Nothobranchius furzeri: one gene and its partner. The protein of the gene in region 2 interacts with the protein of the main gene of each other region in a pairwise test. Links are inferred from orthologs where the notes say so. Each region holds a gene or a part of one and is shown on either strand. Other genes may lie near its edges. The genes, in order: mcm3 and mcm3ap.

What was found.
Region 1: the proteins of mcm3ap (region 2) and mcm3 interact in a two-hybrid assay, tested with the Homo sapiens proteins (2 studies listed by BioGRID). The link is inferred for Nothobranchius furzeri from reciprocal best matches to the Homo sapiens genes MCM3AP and MCM3.

What each region holds. Positions count from the first base shown.
Region 1 is NC_091742.1:30,389,904-30,400,464, forward strand, and holds mcm3 (DNA replication licensing factor MCM3), read right to left. Parts: upstream 7,034-10,561; 5' UTR 6,928-7,033; coding exon 6,853-6,927; intron 6,730-6,852; coding exon 6,617-6,729; intron 6,386-6,616; coding exon 6,177-6,385; intron 6,109-6,176; coding exon 5,978-6,108; intron 5,900-5,977; coding exon 5,661-5,899; intron 5,569-5,660; coding exon 5,460-5,568; intron 5,331-5,459; coding exon 5,177-5,330; intron 5,102-5,176; coding exon 4,761-5,101; intron 4,545-4,760; coding exon 4,370-4,544; intron 4,296-4,369; coding exon 4,169-4,295; intron 4,100-4,168; coding exon 3,949-4,099; intron 3,880-3,948; coding exon 3,739-3,879; intron 3,671-3,738; coding exon 3,558-3,670; intron 3,482-3,557; coding exon 3,408-3,481; intron 3,245-3,407; coding exon 3,151-3,244; intron 3,077-3,150; coding exon 2,878-3,076; 3' UTR 2,725-2,877; downstream 1-2,724. UniProt on the Homo sapiens protein: Acts as a component of the MCM2-7 complex (MCM complex) which is the replicative helicase essential for 'once per cell cycle' DNA replication initiation and elongation in eukaryotic cells.
Region 2 is NC_091747.1:23,629,772-23,639,607, reverse strand, and holds the end of mcm3ap (germinal-center associated nuclear protein), read right to left. Parts: coding exon 9,598-9,836; intron 9,350-9,597; coding exon 9,187-9,349; intron 9,040-9,186; coding exon 8,882-9,039; intron 8,761-8,881; coding exon 8,537-8,760; intron 8,467-8,536; coding exon 8,261-8,466; intron 8,185-8,260; coding exon 8,084-8,184; intron 8,009-8,083; coding exon 7,877-8,008; intron 7,787-7,876; coding exon 7,673-7,786; intron 7,523-7,672; coding exon 7,370-7,522; intron 7,290-7,369; coding exon 7,092-7,289; intron 7,020-7,091; coding exon 6,951-7,019; intron 6,876-6,950; coding exon 6,741-6,875; intron 6,654-6,740; coding exon 6,509-6,653; intron 6,259-6,508; coding exon 5,997-6,258; intron 5,884-5,996; coding exon 5,786-5,883; intron 5,525-5,785; coding exon 5,134-5,524; intron 5,060-5,133; coding exon 4,787-5,059; intron 4,705-4,786; coding exon 4,572-4,704; intron 3,774-4,571; coding exon 3,588-3,773; intron 2,861-3,587; coding exon 2,710-2,860; intron 2,373-2,709; and 3 more.

The DNA of each region.
Region 1 (10,561 bases), on a different chromosome or scaffold from region 2:
TTTCATTTGGGAAAGACGCAGAGGTGAATTCCCCCGCCGCACCCCTCCCCTTCCTGTTCTTCATAGACACACGGAGCACGTGAACGTTCTCAGTCAGCAGGAGCGCCTGCAGCTGCAGGGGGCGCCAACTTGCTGTTTCCAATCCAGACACTGTCATATGACAGATAATAGAAAACCTCGGTGCGGCGCAGATTTCCTTTTTTTTTTTTTTTTACTCAGCGCTTGTGCGCCCCTTTTGTGTCATGAAAAAATGCCGCCCCGGGCAACTGCCCTGTCTGCCCGTGCCTAAAACCGCTACTGGGTTTTACTGCCAAAGTGTTATTATTCCTTTGAAGCATGATGGTGTGTGAATATTCAGAACTGGTCATCTCTGGAACTTTGATGATGCTTTATTGTATTTTCCTAACTTTCATTCCAGTCACATTTCATTTTCACACTCCTGTCATCACATGAAGCTGTGGGTTCGACACAAGAAGCCTTTAAATCTGAGGAATGTTCCTCATAAATCACAGATGCATTCTTCTGACTACAAAAGACCCAGTTTATCACAACCACATGTCAGTCAGTTATCCATCCATGCGCACACACACACACACATGCAAGATCTACCACACCAGACAAGACCCAAGGTGTAGGATATGCTAAGAGGCCCCTGAGACAATCCACCACATAACTGCAGGGTGGAAGATGCTGGCAGGGAAAGCTTACATGGAACGCCACGACCGAGTGGCTGGCATCGTGTACATGAACATCTGTGCAGAGTAGGAAGCCCCAAGGTCAAAGTGGGTAACACCCCCTAAGGTGGTTGAGAACAAGAGAGCCAAGCTCCTGTGGGACTTCCAGATCCAGACTAACAAACCAACTGGGCATTGTGAAGGTGGACAAACAACAGACGACAGCTGTTGCGGTTGATGTGGCAATACCAAGTGGTGGTAATGTTGTTCTTATTTGTTTGCATGATTTACTTGTTTTTATTCTATTGAGCAAGCTTTTATTGATGGTGTGCTTTTAGTTTGTTTGGTGCAACATTGCTTTCTGTTCTGTGTCAATCACCTACACCTGTGGCAGAGTGTGGCCCGGACAACCAATCAATGAACAGATGCAGGCAGGAGGCGAAGGTGGACAGGGTTTCATTTAAAGGGAGGAACGTGGGTCCCAAAGGAGAGCCAGCTAAGAGGCAGAGATGCACCCCGGACACATGTGCCTGAACCCTTTGTTTTTTTGAGCAGTGTGTGTGTGTGTGTGTGTGTGTGTGTATTATAATAAATGACACCATCCAGAGTCAGAGGACTCCAGTGTTTTACACTACAGCAGGGCCAGGGGTCTCCAGCACGCCAAAGTCACTCACCTGGAAGCAGCCATCTTGTAACTGTAATGAATGTGGAACGGCTTTTAAATTAGATGGCAAGCCGTCCCCGTTTTCTGTAATATTTAATCTCAAATACATTTTGTGGAAGTAAAATAAAAATCTGATTGTTGCACAAATCTTTCAGCAGACGTGCTCTACTGGAAACACAGACTTGCTCCGGTTGCAGCACGGATCCCCGTTTCTGGTCTCAGCAGCTGGAGCGGTGATGGAGGTTAGGGTTACACCATAGACTGTACATACAGGGTCACACACACCTGGTTTCAGAAAAACATCCTCAGTGAGATTATCTAGCATCAGTAAAGTCCTATGACCCATAAAATGCTGTTTATGAACACAGGCTTCTGGACATCTCCTGTGATTTAGTTTTAAACCTTTTCCCTCAACAGTTTCAGACGATTTTCTCTAGCAATAAAACACTTTTTAAATCTGTCGTGTGTGTGTGTCACAGCCATCAGGGTCAGACCTGCAGATCAGTTGCGGATTTAAAGGATAAACCTACAACCTTATTTTTATATTGTCCACAAAAAATGCAGCAAAGCATCGTTTTATCTGCTGGTATTAAAGCTAAACTTTACTTTCAAGAGCAAAAAAACCCATAAAAATGATTAAATGAATTAGGAAAGCAGGAAGAAATATTATTTTCTGTTTTTATAGTTTTACTTCAGTTTGAACTATTTGGAATGAAGCTTTTTATCACATTTAGCTTGTTTTTTATTTAAAATGTCTTCAGCTTTATTCGTTTCATGAACATTTTTGTTTGGGAAAATAAACAGAACATCTTCTTGAAAGGTTTTGTATTAACTTCCATCTAAAGAACATCAAATGTTCTTTAAGAGGGCTTTCGATAGTTTTGGGAAGTTTTTGTTCATTTATGACTAAATGGCTGAACCCTGAAGAGCTGACGTGGCTGCTCGGGGCACCCTACTGAGGGTTCCCACAGCACCACGGGACGGGGATCAGCGGGGTTCGGCTGCCCCTCCCACTTCGAATCCGGCAAGCCAGCTTCTTCATCGGTCACATGGTACGGACTGCCAATGAGGCCTCGAACGTCACCGTTTACGTAAACAACACACGCCTCGATAAGCGACATCACTAGTTTTTAGAGCCAACGTTGCTTTTATGTTCGAGTGGAAAATGCACACAGCAGTTTCTCTCCAGATGTACTCGGCGACTAGCACACACTCAGAACCGGGAACATTCATCACTTAGACAGGCCTCCTGGGTTCTGCACCATCAAACACCTGCTGCTCCTGAGGGTGGAACCAGGGCCAGGTGGTGACCAGAACCTGCCCTTGGCTTCAGGCGAGATCTACCATTTAGCCTAACCTGTTACTGTGTGATGACATCAGCCCTCATGGTATTCTCAGATGTTTATTTCACAAACTGCAGCACTTAGAACAGCAAACACTATATACAAGGTCAAAGGTCATCCAGGATGACCGCCACTTGAGCTCTGAGAGGACAGAAACAGCCGATGGCTATAAACAGTCCCGAGATCCTCCTGTCCCTCAGATCAGAAAGATCATGTCATCGGCCACCATGACCTGGTTGTCATCCTGCATGCGAGCCAAGGCGGCGCGGACCTCCGGCTTCGTGAACCGACTCTCACGGTCCTTGTTGACGTCGTCCATCAGCTTGGACATCTTCACCGACTGAGCGTGGCTGGACTGGAACACGGTGAACAGGGACGATTTGAACTCCTTCAGCCTGGAGGGTGGAGGAGACCAGAGTGGTCATTAAGGCTGTCAGCCCTAGCAGGTGGAGATGGAAGTCCCACTCACCTCTCAGCAGACAGGTCCGCTGCTTCGGCCTGTGATGTGGCGTCCATAGGCTCGTCCAGCGGCTGCTGGTCTGGTTTCGGGGCGCCAGCCCGAACTGCAACACACACAGATGGGTGCTGATGAGAGCCGCCTCACCTCAGAGCTACGTTAGCCTTTAGCAGGTGAGGGTCATGAACCCTAACCCTCTACAGAAATCAGGCTCTGGTTATTCGTTCCGAAGCGCTGTGGAGATGTGAGGAGAGGAGGCTGATGCTTACTCTCAGGAACAGTTTGTTCTTCACTGAAGTCATACGGGCTGTAGGGCTCGCTGCTGTTAGAGCCACGGCGCCCCCTGCAGGACACAAACATGCCAGTCACTCTCCAAGCTTCTGTTTTAGAGCATAAATGTGCAACGTGAGCGAGTTTACCTCTTTCTGGTACTTCGTGACTGCTGTGTGGTGACCACCTCATCATCCTCCTTCTCCTCCTCTGAACTGGAGTCACGGTCCTGCCTGGAGCGCTTCTTCTCCTTCTCTAGAACCTGAACAGGAACGGCGACTTTAGGCTCGTCCGAGCTACGTCCAGAGGTCAGGACACAAACCAACAAACCTTCTTAAAGTAGGCAAACTGGACCAGCTCCACAGCAACCTCTGTGTCCACCAGCTCCACAGCTTTGCTCATGCGGGCCTTCGCGTGTGCCGTGGACAGACGGATCAGGGTCTCCAAGGTACGGGCCGTCACTGGAGAGGTCTGCACGAAGAGGGAACAAGGTCAGAGCAGTGTGGGTCCACTCCGTGTTCCTGTGGTTCTCCTGCTCACCCTGGCAACGTCAGAACCAAGCTGCTCCTGGCTCCTCAGTCTGGAGTACTCCTCCGCTATGTGATTGGCTGCCTCCTCCGTCAGCGTGGGCGTTATAGCCTTGGCGATGTGGATGTACTTCCTCATGAACTCCTTACTCACAATCTTATCCCTGAAACAAACTCCTGTTAGTCGTGCAAAAGCACCAGTAGAGTTTAGAAAACACGTCTGACTTCCTCACTTCTTCTTCTTGCTTCCATGCAGCAGGTTGTTGTGTTTCTCATAAACCTGCAGCTCCTCCTGCTCTTCTCCCAGGCCATCTGGGTCGTCTGTGGCCAGAACATCTACGGTCCCACCCAGAGCCATGGCTGCAGGAAATAAACGGACTCGGTGAGACGCTCCTCACGCTGCAGAACACGATCAAACACGGACGCCACTGTACCTGCTCCCTCCTGCTCACGGGGGTCTCGGTAGCGGTGCATCCTCAGGACATGGTCCGAGATTTCCCGGTCCTGCTCGGGGTCCATCTGATCCAGTACGATGAAGAGGAGGTCGAAGCGGGACAGCAGGGAGTCCTGCAGGCCGATGTTCTCCATGGGGGTTTTATACTGATCATACTGCAGGAACAGAGACCTTCATGAACACACACGTTCCCACCGACACGCCAGTCGAACCGCCCAAGATCAAAGCCGTCCCTGGAGGACGCCTGCAGCGACTTCACCAAGTTAAAAGCATTATTATGCCTCACTCCTGCGCCCACCTCATCACGAGCTGACGACCTCTAACAGCTGAAGGGTTTTGTAAACGTCTGCGCCACGCTCACTCCAACTCACCCTGCCGTAGACCGGGTTGGCAGCAGCCAGAACGGAGCAGCGGGCGTTGAGCCGGGCGTGGATTCCAGCCTTGGCGATGGTGACCCGACCCTGCTCCATCACCTCGTGGATGGCGGTGCGGTCCATGTCGGACATCTTATCGAACTCGTCAATGCACACAACGCCGCGGTCCGCCAGCACCATGGCGCCCGCCTCCAGCCGGCGCTCACCGGTCTCCTGGTCAGTGGTGACTGCAGCAGTGAGACCCACGCCGGAGGAGCCCCGCCCGGTGGTGGGGATGGCTCTGGGCGCGGTCTGAAGAACGTAACGCAGCAGCTGGGATTTCGCCACCGACGGGTCACCTGGAAAACCACACACACCGGATGTGAGACAAAATCCCAGAGTGGACACGAACCGCTCTACAGGTCTCCGTTTACCGATGAGCAGGATGTTGATGTCTCCTCTGATGCGGGTACCATTCTCCAGAACCTTCTCCACCCCGCCCAGCAGCATGCACAGGATGGCCTTCTTGATGTAGTCGTGTCCGTGGATGCTGGGTGCCAGCGAATGGGCCAGCCGGTCAAACACGTTCTACAGAAACAGTCACCATTAAAACACACACACACACTCACACACACACACACACACACTCACACACACTCACACACACACACACACACACACACACACACACACACACACACACTCACACACACTCACAATGGAGCGAGTCCGGCAGAAGTTCCTGATCTTGGCCACGTCGTCGGCAGAGAAGGACGGGGAGACCTCCTTGCTCATTTGTTTGACCTGACAGGCGATCATGATGGTCCTGCAGAAACAGGGGAGTTTGGAGTTTTACCTTTTCTCCTTTAGCTCTGGATCTAAACCACCAACAGATGTCTGAAGGACATCACATCAAACCTGAACGTGCCGGAGGTGAACCCTCCCTTCTTCCCAGGCAGGCAACGGTATGTCCCCACGACCTGGACTCGGTCTCCTGGTTTGACGGAATCCACCAAGTCGTTGTCCAGAACGATGTCCACAGAGCGGGGCAGCTGACCGGCTGGAGCCTTCTCCGGCATCTCCTGCACCGTGATGGTCTGGTGGTCCTTGTAGATGGACAGACCAAACTCCGTCTCCAGGGGGTTGTTCTCCTCATCCTAAAGCAGCGGAACCGATGACGGTTAGCCATCTTCAGTCACACACAACCTTTACCATCTGAGCTAGCAAACACCCACCTTGGTTGGGTAAATGGCACTGGAAGGGAAGGCATCCAGAGAGGTCAGGTCGCTGTACACCCTCTCCATGGTTTTCTTGGTGGCTGGACAGTAGTGGACACTGCGCACCACTTTGGGACGCACAAGAGAACCTACAGGAAAAGACCGGAAGGTTAGATGAAACCCAGAGCCAGCAGGCAGCTACAAATCCTAAACTCACACTTGGTGACGATGCCCTCCACACACACCACGCTGCCCAGCAGTCGCGAGGTCAGCGTCCGGGGGGACACGTGCTTGGTGCCGAAGCTGCCCTCCAGCCCGATAAAGAACTCCTCGTGCTGCTTGGCGTAGGTGGCGTCCACCGTGGCCACCACGTCCTTCAGAGCCCGCTGGAAGGCCAGCAGCTCCTCAAACGCACTGTTCAGCAACCTGGGAGGCAAAAACCAGCTGTGATGGCGGGACACGTGATCTGAGGAACCGCCTCTTATCCACCATTTCTGTTCAGTACTGCCTTTTTGGAGCATTTATCCTCTAAAAGTTAGATCTCGCTAAACAGAAGGAGCAGTTAGCTGTGTCTGCTGGAGACATCTTTACACTCATGGATGATGGAGGGGAACCTCAGGAGCTCCAGACCCAAAGGGGACAGCGAGTGTGACTAACTTTGCGGCCCGGGTCTCGTTGCGCCTCCTCAGGTCGTTGATGTTGACGATGAGCCGGGCTTTGTTGTCTCCGATCATGTCGCGGACTTTGCTCTGGTAGATGCCCTGGTCCTGCTGCAGGTCGGACAACAACACGGAGGCTGTTAAAAACGCATTCCTGACACAAGTCTGACCACGACGGCGGCCTTTGTTGTTCTCTCCTTACAGGAACACATCAAAGGACAAAAGGTGACTTACGTCGTCGTCCAGGAAGTCCACATAGTCCCTCTGCGCCTCCCTCATCTCCCGGTCGTCCACCATGTCGGTCGCCATTATTTCTGATCAACTTTTCTCGGTGATGAAACTGAAAACGGGAAACAAAACGCTGCCGCCACCGTCACACCTCACGACTGAAGACTTTTCGCGCCACTGCGGTCTGCGTCACAGTACAGCGTGCCCTACGATTGGTCAACCCGTCACGTGGTCTTTTGCATACTCGGCGGGTAAACTCACGCAATAATCACGTGACACTTAACCCCCTCCCCCAGCATGCTTTGCGCGCCGGCCGTGGATTTTCAACAGGAAGCGGAAGTGGGGAGAGCTACGAAGTTTTAAACGTGAGTTTGTTAAAAACCAGCCGTAGAAACCTAAAAAACTTAAAGCGGTTCTGTTTATAGACATTTGTCGTTTGTATGTTTGTTCTTTAAATTACATTTTAGGCAGAAATCAGCCAGAACGACTTTGTTTCGCAGGTCCCAGTTATTCCTGTGTGTGTGTGTGTGTGTGTGTGTGTGTGTGTGTGTGTGTGTGTGTGTGTGTGTGTGTGTGTGTGTGTGTGTGTGTGTGTGTGTGTGTGTGTTGAATTGTCATTTGTTTTAAGGACAACGGCGCAAAGAAGCGTTTTTATGAAGCTCAGAGGTGAATAGGAAGCTGTTCACACACACACACACACACACACACACACACACACACACACACACACACACACACACACACACACACACACACACACACACACACACACGTTCTTCTGTGAAAAGTAGTTTTACATTCAGGGATTTACACAGCTGACACGTTTTAATGAAGTAAAAAGTTTGTGTGCAGAATAAAAGTTTTATCTTCTCATGTGGATAAATGTAAAAGTGTGTTTATTGCCTTTTTGTCACCTGTGGTCTGATTTTCTCTGTAGGACTGCAGGTGTCCAGGGTCAGGAGAGGCTTTACCTGGTGCAGCTGCCAGCCTGGCCAGAGGGAGAAAGCAGCCAGGATCACCCAGCTCTGGTGATGGCCGGACACCGCCCCCCCCTCCTCCTCCCTTCCAGGCTGCTGAGGAGCACAGCTGAGCTGAGTCCTCCTGATGAGCCACACCTGGATAAAAGAGCTGTGCCTTCAGAGTCTGGGAGGCAGCAGTGCAGGAGCTCTGCTGTTCTCCATTCGTTCTGTATGAGTTTAACTTTTATAGTTGAAACTCTTGAGTGATCCTGTGGGATCTTGTGTTCGTTGGTTTTTAAGGTTAACTTTGTTTGTTGCAATTTTATTGACATGGTTTTTAAATACCTTTGTTTGGTAAAACTTAAGTTTTAACCAGGTGTTTAAGTCAGTAAATTGTTTTATATCAACTTCGCGGTGCTTTTAGAACACCTTCTTGCGGTGAAGCTTTTAACAAATTTTTAACCAGGTGTTTTTTATAGTTGATAATTTGTCGTTTAATATTAACCTTTTTGAAAGTTTGAGTGTGTTGCATTATTTTTATAATGCCCGTCGTATGTTTGCTTGTGTTTTAGAACCTTTGTATACCATTAAAACCCTTTTAATATCCACTGTCCAGTTCTTATGTGATCCCCATTCTTCACATTTTACCATCTCATGTCGTGGACGCAACACTTACCTGTTGGTCCTCCTGGGAGACAGGCCTTCTACTGTCATCATGTTAATGTTATTTAGCTGTTTGTATTTGTTTTAGTAAATGTGTTCAAATACTGATAACTTTCTGGTCATTGGTTTTATCACCAGTTTTATTAATACAGATGTTTTTGAACATGTTACATGAACAGAAAATGAAAAGATGGTAAGGAGACAAGATTATTTATAATAGGTTTAACTTATTTACAGATCAAAACCAGTATGGACGACCGGGTGTCGTCAGTTGATCCCAGCCTTACAGCCCCACCCTCAGCTCCACCTCTCTTCCCTTTTATGGAATTGTCTGGGCTTGACGGAACCTGTGACACGGTCAAAATGGTGGTGGTGGCCACCTCCCATTTTAGTACAAAAACGTGATATTGGAGCCTATGGAAAGGAGATGTCCAGTATATTTATGCCGATGATTTCAACCCATTTTCTAAAGTGCAGCATTATGTTAAATGCACTGGGTTTTACCCTATTACATTTAAATTTCATGGTTAAACAGTACATGTTAAAATCTAAGCTCAGCTCGGCAGTGACCTAAAATATATAAATATAATTTTACTTACTGAAAAAAATGAAGTGGAGACTCCTTGGACGCTCTATTAGTGCAATTAATGCCACAGCAAGTCATTTTGTCCAACAATTGCACAAATAATATCCAAACAAGAATACACACACACACAGAGACTCAAAATCCTGGAACAGTTTCCAGGCCAGACCGAGGCTCTACCGAGGCCTTTCCACGGAGCTAGCTCTGTGGTCACGTGGGTCTGATGCTCATTAATTATACAGAATTTTAGGCTTTTAATACACTTAAACAGAAGAGTGAGAAAAACATTCACCCCACTCAGAGTTGTCATGAGTGTAAACTAGATCATTTAAACCAAAAACATGTTTTGGTACCAGGCTGTAAACATGTTTATTTATGCTGTCAAATTGGTATTTTTAACATGGGAGTCAATGAGGATTTGCTCACTTCTGACACCAGCCCCTAGTGGATGAGGGTGGAACTGCAATTTCTTTCATTTCCACATTTGCTTAGATTTTTGACCCGCATTGTGGGGGCTTGGTCTGAATTCAGAGCCGCTGGATTTCGGTCTTAGCGGTCTAGCAAGGACCCTAGACCGGCGAGGACCCGTACTCGTAAGCATCCTACCCGTGGATTCGACCCACCCTTCATAAAACTGGCGCAAAAACAAGCCGGAAACGGAAACAAAACACAATTTCACCCTTTGTATACAAGATGGGGCCAAAAACAGCTCGTGTTTCTGTCTGTCCAATTTAGTTAATTCCAAACCTAACCTCTTTGTTTAAAGACTAATTTCACATTAACCTGGTTATCTCTAGATGTTTTAAATTATCCACATTTATTTTCCTAAGATCCCATGTTCAAAAACCCATACAACCCGTTACTCCATATATTTCCTCTTGTAAATTACAAATGGCCTTACAACACCACACAACCTACATTAGGGGCGACGGTGGCACAGGAGTTAAGCGCTCGCCCCGTAATCAGAAGGTTGCAGGTTCGAGTCCCGCTCAGTCTGTCGCTGTTGTTGTGTCCTTGGGCAAGACACTTAACCCACATTGCCTGCTGGTGGTGGTCGGAGGGACCGGTGGCGCCAGTGCTCGGCAGCCTCGTCTCTGTCAGTGCGCCCCAGGGCAGCTGTGGCTACATTGTAGCTCATCCCCACCAGTGTGTGTGAATGGGTGAATGACTGATTGTGTTGTAAAGCGCCTTGGGGGGTTTCAAGAACTCTAGAAGGAGTTATATCAAATACAGGCCATTTACCATTTACATTCATAAAAACGTTTGTTAGAAGTAGTTTACATAAAAATGGAATCATTATTGTCCCTGCAGTGATTGTATAAACATTGTGTTGACAGGGTGCTGACTGCAGTTACAGTAGGACTAGGATGCTTTAGCCTTTAATGGATAATTACATGGTGGGATCTCCATGCAAGGAGAGCACTTGCTGAAGATCAGAGTGCCAAGAGTCTTGATCTGGCTCAGGACCACCAGAAATGGACCAGAAGGGAAAAACTGTTCCCGGTCTGAC
Region 2 (9,836 bases):
AGTTCATTTTGCTCAAATAGAAATAGAGCCTTGCCTCTAATTCTGGTCCTCCTTCCAATAAAAGCCTGGAGCTTGATGAGCTTGAGTCAAATACAGGCCTGGGCCTGTATTAGAGGATTTACGGTATGTTTAAGTATAGTTTAAAAACCAGTTTTTAAACTTTTCAAAAATAAAGATTTAGATTTTTTTTTAAACAAAAGGTTTACATTTTGGTCAAGGTCAGTTTTATTTATGTAGCACATTTACTGTTGCTCAAGCAACCCAAAGTGCTGTGCAGTGCCCAAAATGCCACATAAAACTCACCCAAAAATGAAACACATTAAAAAGATAAGAAGTAGACAACAAAAATAATTAAACCATGAATAAAATGACTAGTTTAGAGTAAAACAATAACTAAAAGATCAAAGAATAAAACCATCATAAAACTAGATAAAAAGTAAAAGAATAACTGCACAGATCAACCAATATTAAAAAGAAGGTCAAAGAAATGTGTTAAACAACAAAGCCTAGGGGCAGCTACTGAAAAAGCTCCATCTCTTTGGGTATCACACCTGTACTGGCGTGATACACCTGTACTGGCGCAGCTCCATTGGCTACACGTAAACTTCAGAGTGAAGTTTAAAATTCTGATCTTTGTTTTTAAGGTTCTGAATGGTCTGGCACCGGATTACCTGTCCGACCTTGTGGCTCGTTATGTGCCAAACCGGGCATTGAGATCTGCCGATTGCTTGCTGCTTCACATTCCCACCATGAAATACAAAACGCAGGGGCAGCGTGCTTTTGTCTACGCTGCTCCGTCCCTCTGGGCTGGCACCACCCCTTCCCCGTTACAAGTCACTGCTTAAGGCCCACTTATACAACCAGGCATTTTTAAACCCTTGACTTTTATTAATTATTTTTATTATGTATTCTTTTATTGACTGTGATTTAACTGATTTGATGTGTACTTTTATTATTGTGTTTTTGGTTTTATGTTGTGTTTTACTTTTCATCTGTACAGCACTTTAGTTTGCTGCCATGCCGTTTTTAAAAGTGCTTTATAAATAAAGTTGGTATGATATGGTAGGGTCTTTAGACAAGACCTTGGGATCAGAACAGGGACTAGGAGCTAGATCTCAAATTTCTGACAGGAGTGTACATGGTCAGTCGATCGTCTATGTAGGGTGGGGCTAGGCCTTGGAGAGACAAACAGCAGTACTTTAAACTGGTTGTTGTAACGTAGGGGAAGCTAGTGAAGGGAACCTATGGGGTGCCATTTGTAAAGTCAAACAGTCATAATCTAACAGCAATATTTTTGGTTATTTAGCATATCACAAGAGAAAAAATTGTGAGTTCACGTTTTTGAAGTCATATTTTCACCATGTTATTCATACATTTATAAATGTTAAAGTTTCCAAATACATATTTAGTTAGCAAGCTAAATATTTAATTTGTAGTTAAATATTTATTTTGCAAACTAAATATTTAGGTCTGCTCCAAATATTTAGTTTGTAAAATAAATATTTAATTCACTAACTAAATATTTAATTTACTAATTAAATATTTATTTTGGAACTAAATATTTAATTTGTAAATTAAATATTTATTTTCCGAAATAAATATTTAGATCCCAGCTAAATATTTATTTTGGAGCTAAACATTTAGTTTGCAAAATCAGTATTTGAGAAATAAATATTTAAGTCTGACCCAAAAATATAAAATATAGTGTGGAGCTAAATAACATTGTGGAAAATAAATATTTAGCTGGTACTTAAACATTTAGCTAATAGGCAGATTCGCTTGCCAATAAGCGGAAGTTGGTTACCAAAATAAATGCTGGATCTCGCTAACTTCTTTCTAAACTCTTGCTACGAACCAGAACTTGTTTTATCTCCGGTTCTATTCTTCTGAACATGTCCGACGTGTTGGGAGTTCAGGAAGCGCTCCTTTAGAAAAGTTCTTTAAAAAATGTGTTAACTGGGATTTAATAAAAAACAAACTAGAGTTTTATTTTTAATTCAGCATCTTTAAAACTCGAGACAAAAAGTTTTAAATGAAAAGACAAAATTTTCCTGTAAAACCAGAACTTTCTCATATTGGTACAAACATTTAACATCCACACACACAGTCTGATGAGAAAGTCCTTCTTTAAAGGCAGAGAAGTTTCGTTGTTGTTTAGAATATGTGTGGGACTGCAGGGCTGAATAAAAACCACAGGAGTCCCATCAGTCATGCACGATGCTCAGAAGACCTCTCAGCTTCCTTCTGCAGGCCAGCTCTTCCTCTTGACTCGAGGACATCTGTCTCTCCAGATCCTTCAGTCTCCATGTCAGAGACACGGGACGAGTCCCGGACCAAGTTGCTCCATCCAAATGCTCATTACGCTCTGACCTCTGGGGACAAAAATAAAAGAAGTGTTGCCCATGTAACTTCTGATCCAGCCAGCTTCGCTCTTGTGATCTTTTCATTTGGTCTGACTGGCACAAAACCAACTTTCAGTCCATTTCTCGTACCAGAACCCGGATCATCCTAAGAGCTATTAGCTAAAAACTTTTCACTGTGTACATTTTGCTCTGTAAGACAACTGGACTGATTGTTGTGATTCAGTGTGACGTTGCCTACATCATCAAGGTTTTACAGGAACAAAGTATTACCCACCTCGAATTTATTCTACGCCTGATCTATTCTGATTACTTAATAATTAACCCTGTCCAGGCAGTGTTGGGATACCTGAGTGAGAGCAGCCGGTCCAGTCTTGCCTGTGGGCGTACACCTTATGGTTGCCGGTGTGGACAGCAGGATGGAGGACGGAATGAAAAGCGGCGTGGACAGATGATCCAACGGCTCGCCAGTCACCCACTGCTGCAGCTTCTCCATGCTCCTGCAGAGAGGAAGTTTAGTGTATCTGACCCGCTGATTGTGAGGAGACAAATACTGAAAACATGTAGACATCTTTCTGAAGACATGAGAAGTTGGAGCTAAAATATTTCCTGTAAATGATTAAAAATTTTTACACATCAGAAATTTAGGGGTCCAGTTTTAATTTGGTTCTTTACGGTTCTAAAAATGGCGCTGAAACAAAGCCAAAGACACCAGAGCAACATTCCCAACATCCGTGTTGATAACTGCGGTGAGCTGACCAAACACCTGCAGGGTCATCTGGATCTGAACCGGACTCCTTTAATCGCTCACGGTGTGATTGGCTGTTGTGTTGTAGCAGCTTTGGCGGTTGTAGGGCTCTAGAAGATGCTATAGGAATACATTTATCATAAAAGGGTTCCTTCTAGGGGCCAAATTGGCCCACAGATGTTTTAAGGTGAATATTTTATTTATAGAGCACCACGTTCTTACCAAGGAGGTGGCTTTTCATCACCTCAGATTCATTCCTGCCCCTGCTGGGCTCTGCCTATTCTTGTGCCAAGATTTAAATTGGAAATAGTTTTATTTATGTAAAAGAAATCATTTGCCTTCAATGTTCTTCTTGGTATTAAATGTATAAAATGAGAAAAAGAAACAAGCTGGTAAACACCCAGAAGGATAAACAAGTTCATAAACTTCTTCTGTTGTGTCTGTGAATCAGAAGTCCAGCAGCAGAGCTGCAGCGGTACCTCCTGCTCTCGGCCCGTTCACGCTCCATGTTCTGAAGGACTTTGTGAGCCAGCTGCTCTTCTGTTGTGGGGGTGTGTGTGATGTCCAGAGGAGTGGGGGATGACTCCGCAGGCTCCACCAAACTGTGGAACAACCTCTGTCTGAGAGTCGGACCAGCCGGCGGAGCATGGGCAGCTTCAGCATCCCTGAAAGAGGCAGGCAGAGATCAAGATGACACCAACACACTCATACTGAGCAACATGTCTAAATTAATTCATAAACAATCGTTTACTGGAAGGAATCTTATAGAATTAGACAAACAACAGATTTAGTGTTTTTCTTTCCTTTTATTTTCCACCGTCCTCCCACCAACACCCAGAAACCTGACAAACCTTCAGTTTGCTTCTTGGTTTCATATTTTAACACTGTGTGGAGCTACGACAGTGAAGATGACCACTAACATTTAACTCTCCGGAGATTGGCACTTATCTCCCACTTTAACTTGTCAAAAACAAACGTGTCCAAGAGAGCAGTGGAAATAATTCAGACGTCATCGTCTCTAATCTCCTCCTCGCTGTCGAACACTGATAGTGATGGAGGTTCTAAAAACTAACAATATTCATGTTGAAAGAACATCTTGACCATGCTGAAGAGCATTTCTGTGTAAAAGTTCATTCTTATCTCGCTTCCCGAACAGCCTCTGTTCACAGAAATAAAGTCTATGCCCTTCAGGACCGACTAGCTAACAGCTCGTCTGGGTGAAGAACCAGTGAGTTGCTGCCGTCTTAAAACTGCTCCAGTTTCCTAAGTTTCACAGAAGTTTATGTTACATTATTTTAGGAACTTTTACACCTCGCTCTGACTAGCCGTTAGCTCATCAGTCCTGAAGACAGGCTGTTCAGGAAGCTATCAACGGGCTGAGATGGGAATTATTTCAGGTTCCTTGCAGTAAAACAAAGTTCTGATTTTGACTTTTCAAAACTCTCCAGGATCAGTAATCGTACCCATGCCTCTGCCTCTGCTTCTCCTCCATGTGTGTTTGCTCAACGGCCCGTGTCCACCCCTCAGGTGGTTGGAAACCTTCTAGTGAACCTTCAGGAAAGTAAACCAGGATCTCTCCATCATCTGTCACAGCATCTTGAAGAGGGACAAAAAGCAAAGTTGAGGTGTTTTGAGTGTGAAGCCAGTAAGAAGCAGAACATGAATGAATGAAGCTGACCTTCACAGACCGGTGGTCCTGGCAGCAGCCAGTCCTTCAGTTTATGGTCTACAAAGACCAACACCACATCATCCCATGGAACCTGGCTGAAAGCATCGTAGTCGGCATTTCCACACCTTCCCTTGGTTTTGGAGGCTTGGGCTCGCTGAGCCTTTACTCTGACTCGTTCAAACAGGTTCATCAGGTGTGACACGAGGACAGGCTGACTACGACGGGACGTGGTGATTTTAGAGGCGTAACAAAAGATGGAGGAGCACAGATCCGACCACATGTCTGGATTGAAAGAGTGGGTCACAAATAAATATCTTTCTCTCCTCTTTAATCCAAGCTCTATCTGAGGCACTAACCTGTTGCTGGAAGCTCCTCCCACTCAGGTAACTGCAAGCTGAGGATGGCTTCACGCAGCCAGGCCAGGTGTTGAACAGAATTCCAGCCCAGGTGAGGCACAAACTCCCTGGTTTCAGGCAGACTGAACTCAGCGGGAGGCCATGACAGTCTGCAGAGATCCTGGGAGGCCACGGTATTAGCGACGTGATCCAGGACGGCGTTGTACAGCTGGATGACGGGCGCCGGCTCCTGGAGCAGAAGCTGTGCAGCGGCTCGGTTCTGACGGTTGGCGTAAACTCTGGGACAGAACTCACGACTCAAACTGGCCTCGATCAGCTGCGCCAGGGTTTGACAACGGAGCGGGAAGTGTGGTGGAGCACGAGGCAGCAACCAGCGTACAGCCTGGGTTAGCTGGAGACGGGGAGGACAAAAGGTCAAAGGTCAGAGAGAACAGCTGAAAGTACATAAACACGGAAAAGACAAGTTAATCCCATGATTCAATTTTTTGAGAACTTTTATTTGGTCTTCTGCTTCCACAACCTTCATCCAGAACCGTTTCAAAGTTAGAAAACGGACTAAACTCGTTTCTCTAAACACAACAAAGAATCAAAAGAATAAAACCATTACAGCTGCCAACATGTGTTCAAGGCTGGTGCCGGGTTTTATCGGTACCTGTTTGGATCCCTGCAGATCATTTGTTGTCTCTGGTATGAAGAACAGCATGTACTCCGATATTAGCTCCTCTTTAACCAGCGTGCGTAGCTTCAAGGCTAAGAGATCAGAGGAACCGTTCACACCAAAGGAAAACAGATTCGTGCTGATTCACAGCACAGAAATATCCACCATTACAAGTTAAAATTGTTTTCCAGCAGTAGTTCAGTACCTTCCTCCAGGTCGGGAGCTACACTGGCATCTTGGCAGCCCGGTACCAGAAGCACCAGAGGCAGAGGACAGAACCAGCTGCTGGCTTGCTGCAGCTGTTTAAGCTGAAGCAAAGCAGACAGCAGAGGAACATCCCGGTCCTCCTGACCCACTTCCACTACCGGCTGAGCGGGAAGCAGCATGATGATGGCTTTTGTGCCCTGAAGCTCAGGGAACTCCTCCAATCTGGACAAGCCGGGTTCGGACAGCGGACCTCGACACGCCTGAAAGACGTAACATGAACCTGCTCAGGAGGTGCAGCTTCACACACACCCAAAGAACAACTTTAAACAACAAGTAAACACATTTCTTTAAATAATTCACAGAAACAAAAAGTAACACGATAAAGATGCATGTTGGACTGAAACAACAAAGCTCCCAGGCCTGAAATTGAACACGTTTTACCTCCAGCCTGCATCAGCAGCACAGAGCCTCCGGACAAACTCACACTCAGGCCCCGACGGCGAATCCTACCTTCAATGTGATGTGGACTTTATGAGTTCTCTGTCCATTCTCCTGCAGTGTGTTGGAGACACAAAGTGTCCTCATGGTGCCGTCCCGCGGCTCCTCCAAGCCTCCATCTCCTCCGAGTTTCACCTCCATCCAGTCTGATAGAACCCTGGAAGAACACAGCCAACACCAGCCCGACATGTCGGAGGAAACGTGAGGTTGGACCCATGCAGTAAAACATCTGGTGTCTTCTCACCTGTCGGCCAGGCTGGCTACACTTTCATCATCGCTAGGCAGGAGGACCAGAGCTTTCCAGAAGATGCGATCAGGTGGGTTTGGGATATTTTCTGTCACAAGTGCTGGCAGATCAAGTGGTTCCCACACTGCCTCTCTGAGGAAATCATCACAGACTCGTCAAACTGCGGTTTCCTGGCAAAGCCTCTAACCCAGTGGACTCAGGACTTACTCCAGCAGCTGCTGATAGAAGGAGTGGACTCTCATCTGATGCATTGCTCCTTCTCTCATCCTCAACAACCTGAAAAAGGTAGAAAATGTTTCACGGCTTGTCAAGATCCGTAAACTAGAAAGAAATAAGAGGCGAACGTACCTGGTGCTGGACACTGCCAACACGCCAGCGTTTCCCAGTCGGACCAGACCTTGAGCCAGATCCTGTATGGAGGGCTGAGCAGGAGCGCTGGGAACCAGGGCCTTCAGTTTAAAACGGGGATCAACGCAGCAAGGAGCTGCAGGGAACTCTCTCATCTGTCTCTTCAGCTGGCGGCGAACGGTAACCACATCACGCCACCTGGTGCAAAGCCAGACCACTCAGCTTACCACGTCTAGGTCAAATATAGCTGTCCAGGGGTTCGTTCTGCAGATTTTAACCTTTTGATGTATTTGTGGATACGTTCCAGCTCAGCTTCGAGGAAGTCTTCAGCCAGCAGAGAAATGGCTGTAGCCAACGTCTCCTCCATTAGACTGCAGCAGACCTGCTCAGAGCACTGAGCCAAACGTTCCGCTTCCTCGTTCACCGCCTCCCTGATAATAAAAAGTTCAGATCAGCGTTCTGGTTCAGGCATAAATATTTAAAATCCTTCTGTTAAAGAGAAACCCACAAAAGTCACGGAAATATCCCAAAACTAAGGAAAGTGTGATTAAGTAAAGAAGAGCATCAAGCAAAGCTTTTACTGGATCTGAGACGCTGCGGACTGCTGTATGGTCTCATCCAGCACTTCATGGATGATCTGTGTGCAGAGCCAACAGCTGAACTGAGCCAGAAATGCCTCGTGCTCCTGCCTCCTCCTACAGAAGAATAAACACAACAGCGTTTATTGATCCTGCAGAAGTTGGTTTCATCTTAAGCTCGTCAGAAAAGGCGTTTTCTACACCAACCTTGCCACTTCAAGTCTGCGTTTCTCCTCAACGACACGCTCTTGTTCCATTTTGATCTCGTTGGACGATATGTCCTGCAACATCTGTCCCAGCACCTCCCTCACCAGAGCCTCCACCTGCACGCTGCTCTCCCTGCAGAAGCAGAAGGTAAAATCATCCAAGATGTCTTCATGGCCTCCAATGCAGCGCGAGCGGATGTGAGCTTACGAGAGAGCCTCTGTGACGTAGCTTGCTCCAGCATCAGCTACAGCTTTCACCTCTGCTTCAACCACTTCGTCTAGAACAGAGTCCATCGCTGCCACCATGTCCTGAAGAGGACAGAAACGTGAGCAGAATGCAAACAAACAAGTTCAGAGCAGAAAGCAGCTTGGCGATGCCTCCCACCTCGTCGCTGTACAGCGGCTGAGGAGGTTTGGGTGGGGGCGATGGAGGTTCGACAGGCTCATGCTGGAACTGCGAGGCCTCAGGGTGATACGGTTGTCTTGGTTCATCTGGAACAGCGGGAAGCGGCTCAAACACTGCAGAAACATCTGGACCAAGCTGAGTGGACAGATCAACAGCTGGTAGGGCTGGAGCGTCCGCGCTGCTGCCTGAAACAAAAACGGGTTTGGTTAACGGCTTTACCGACACAAGAAGCAGAAATCTGGTAAACCATCACACCTTTAATGTAGCTGGATGTGGACTCAGTCAGCTTCCCATCTCCACTGTATTTATTCTGAGAGTCAAAGCTACAGATGGGGGTGTGCTGCGGGGGGTTGGGGAGGGGGCCTCCATTCACCACCTGTCCAGTTAATACCGTCTTCTTAGAGAGAATGACCTCTGACATCTTCTGAGACCGGGGCAGTTCTGGCTCCTGAAAAGCTATCCGGCTCAGTTCCACCATCCTGCACAGTTTAAACTATGTTATTTTGCCTTTTTTAAATCCAAACATGTATTTTATGGGTCAATGTGTCAAAACGGTGGAGAAATCTTTATGGCATTTAGTTCAGCAGCAACGAGCTTTACCCGTCGTTGACCACGAGCCCGTACTGCTGCACGAAGTCGGTCCCTTCAGTTGCATCTCGGAACATCAACATCCGGACAACATCCTCTATCGGGAATGCGGTAGATCGAGGACCCACAGTGTGAGCCATGTTCAGGGCCTTCAGTGCCTTCGCTCTGACCTACACACACACACACACACACACACACACACACACACACACACACACACACACACACACACACACACACACACACACACACAAGATGGAGCGTTTAACACCAACAACATTCAGACACCAGAAAGAAAAGAGCTGAAGCTTTCTCACCTGGCTGAAGTATCTGTGCAGGAGGCAGCTGGAGAGATAAGAAGCTCTCTTCACCAGCTTGAAGAAGCGAACAAAGTTGTTGCTGTTGACGGCAGCGAACGCTTGAACTGCAAACGTCACCTCCGGTGAGTTTCGCACCTCCCCTCGGAACTGCTGCACCTCTCTGCAGAGATGAAGGGTTTTAATCACAGACACAGTCCGTAATAAACGCTGTCAACTAAAATCAGGATTCATTTCTTGATGTTTTCCTTCCAAGCAGAAAGATTTTCTTGTAATCTTGATGAATAATTCTCCACTTTCAGACAGGGGCGCCTCCAGAAAACTTTGATGGGGTGGCCGGATGGGGTCAAACAAATGTTTGGGGTGGCACACCAAACTGAACCTTGTGGTAACTCTGCCATGAGAAGCTACCTGAGGACGTCTCCATCGTTGAGCCTCAGCAGAACGCTGTACTGGCGGAACTCGGCCTCTTGGGGGCAGAAGATCTGCTCAGCTGCCAGGTCATGGTACATTTCTTTGAGACTCTGCAGGCACTTCGTCATGTTCTCATTGTTGATTTTAGCATCAAAAGACAACATGGGCTGCTCACAGAGCTGGTGGGCGCAGTGCACGTGGAAGCGTGTGCACTTCTCTATCAGTGACACCGTTTG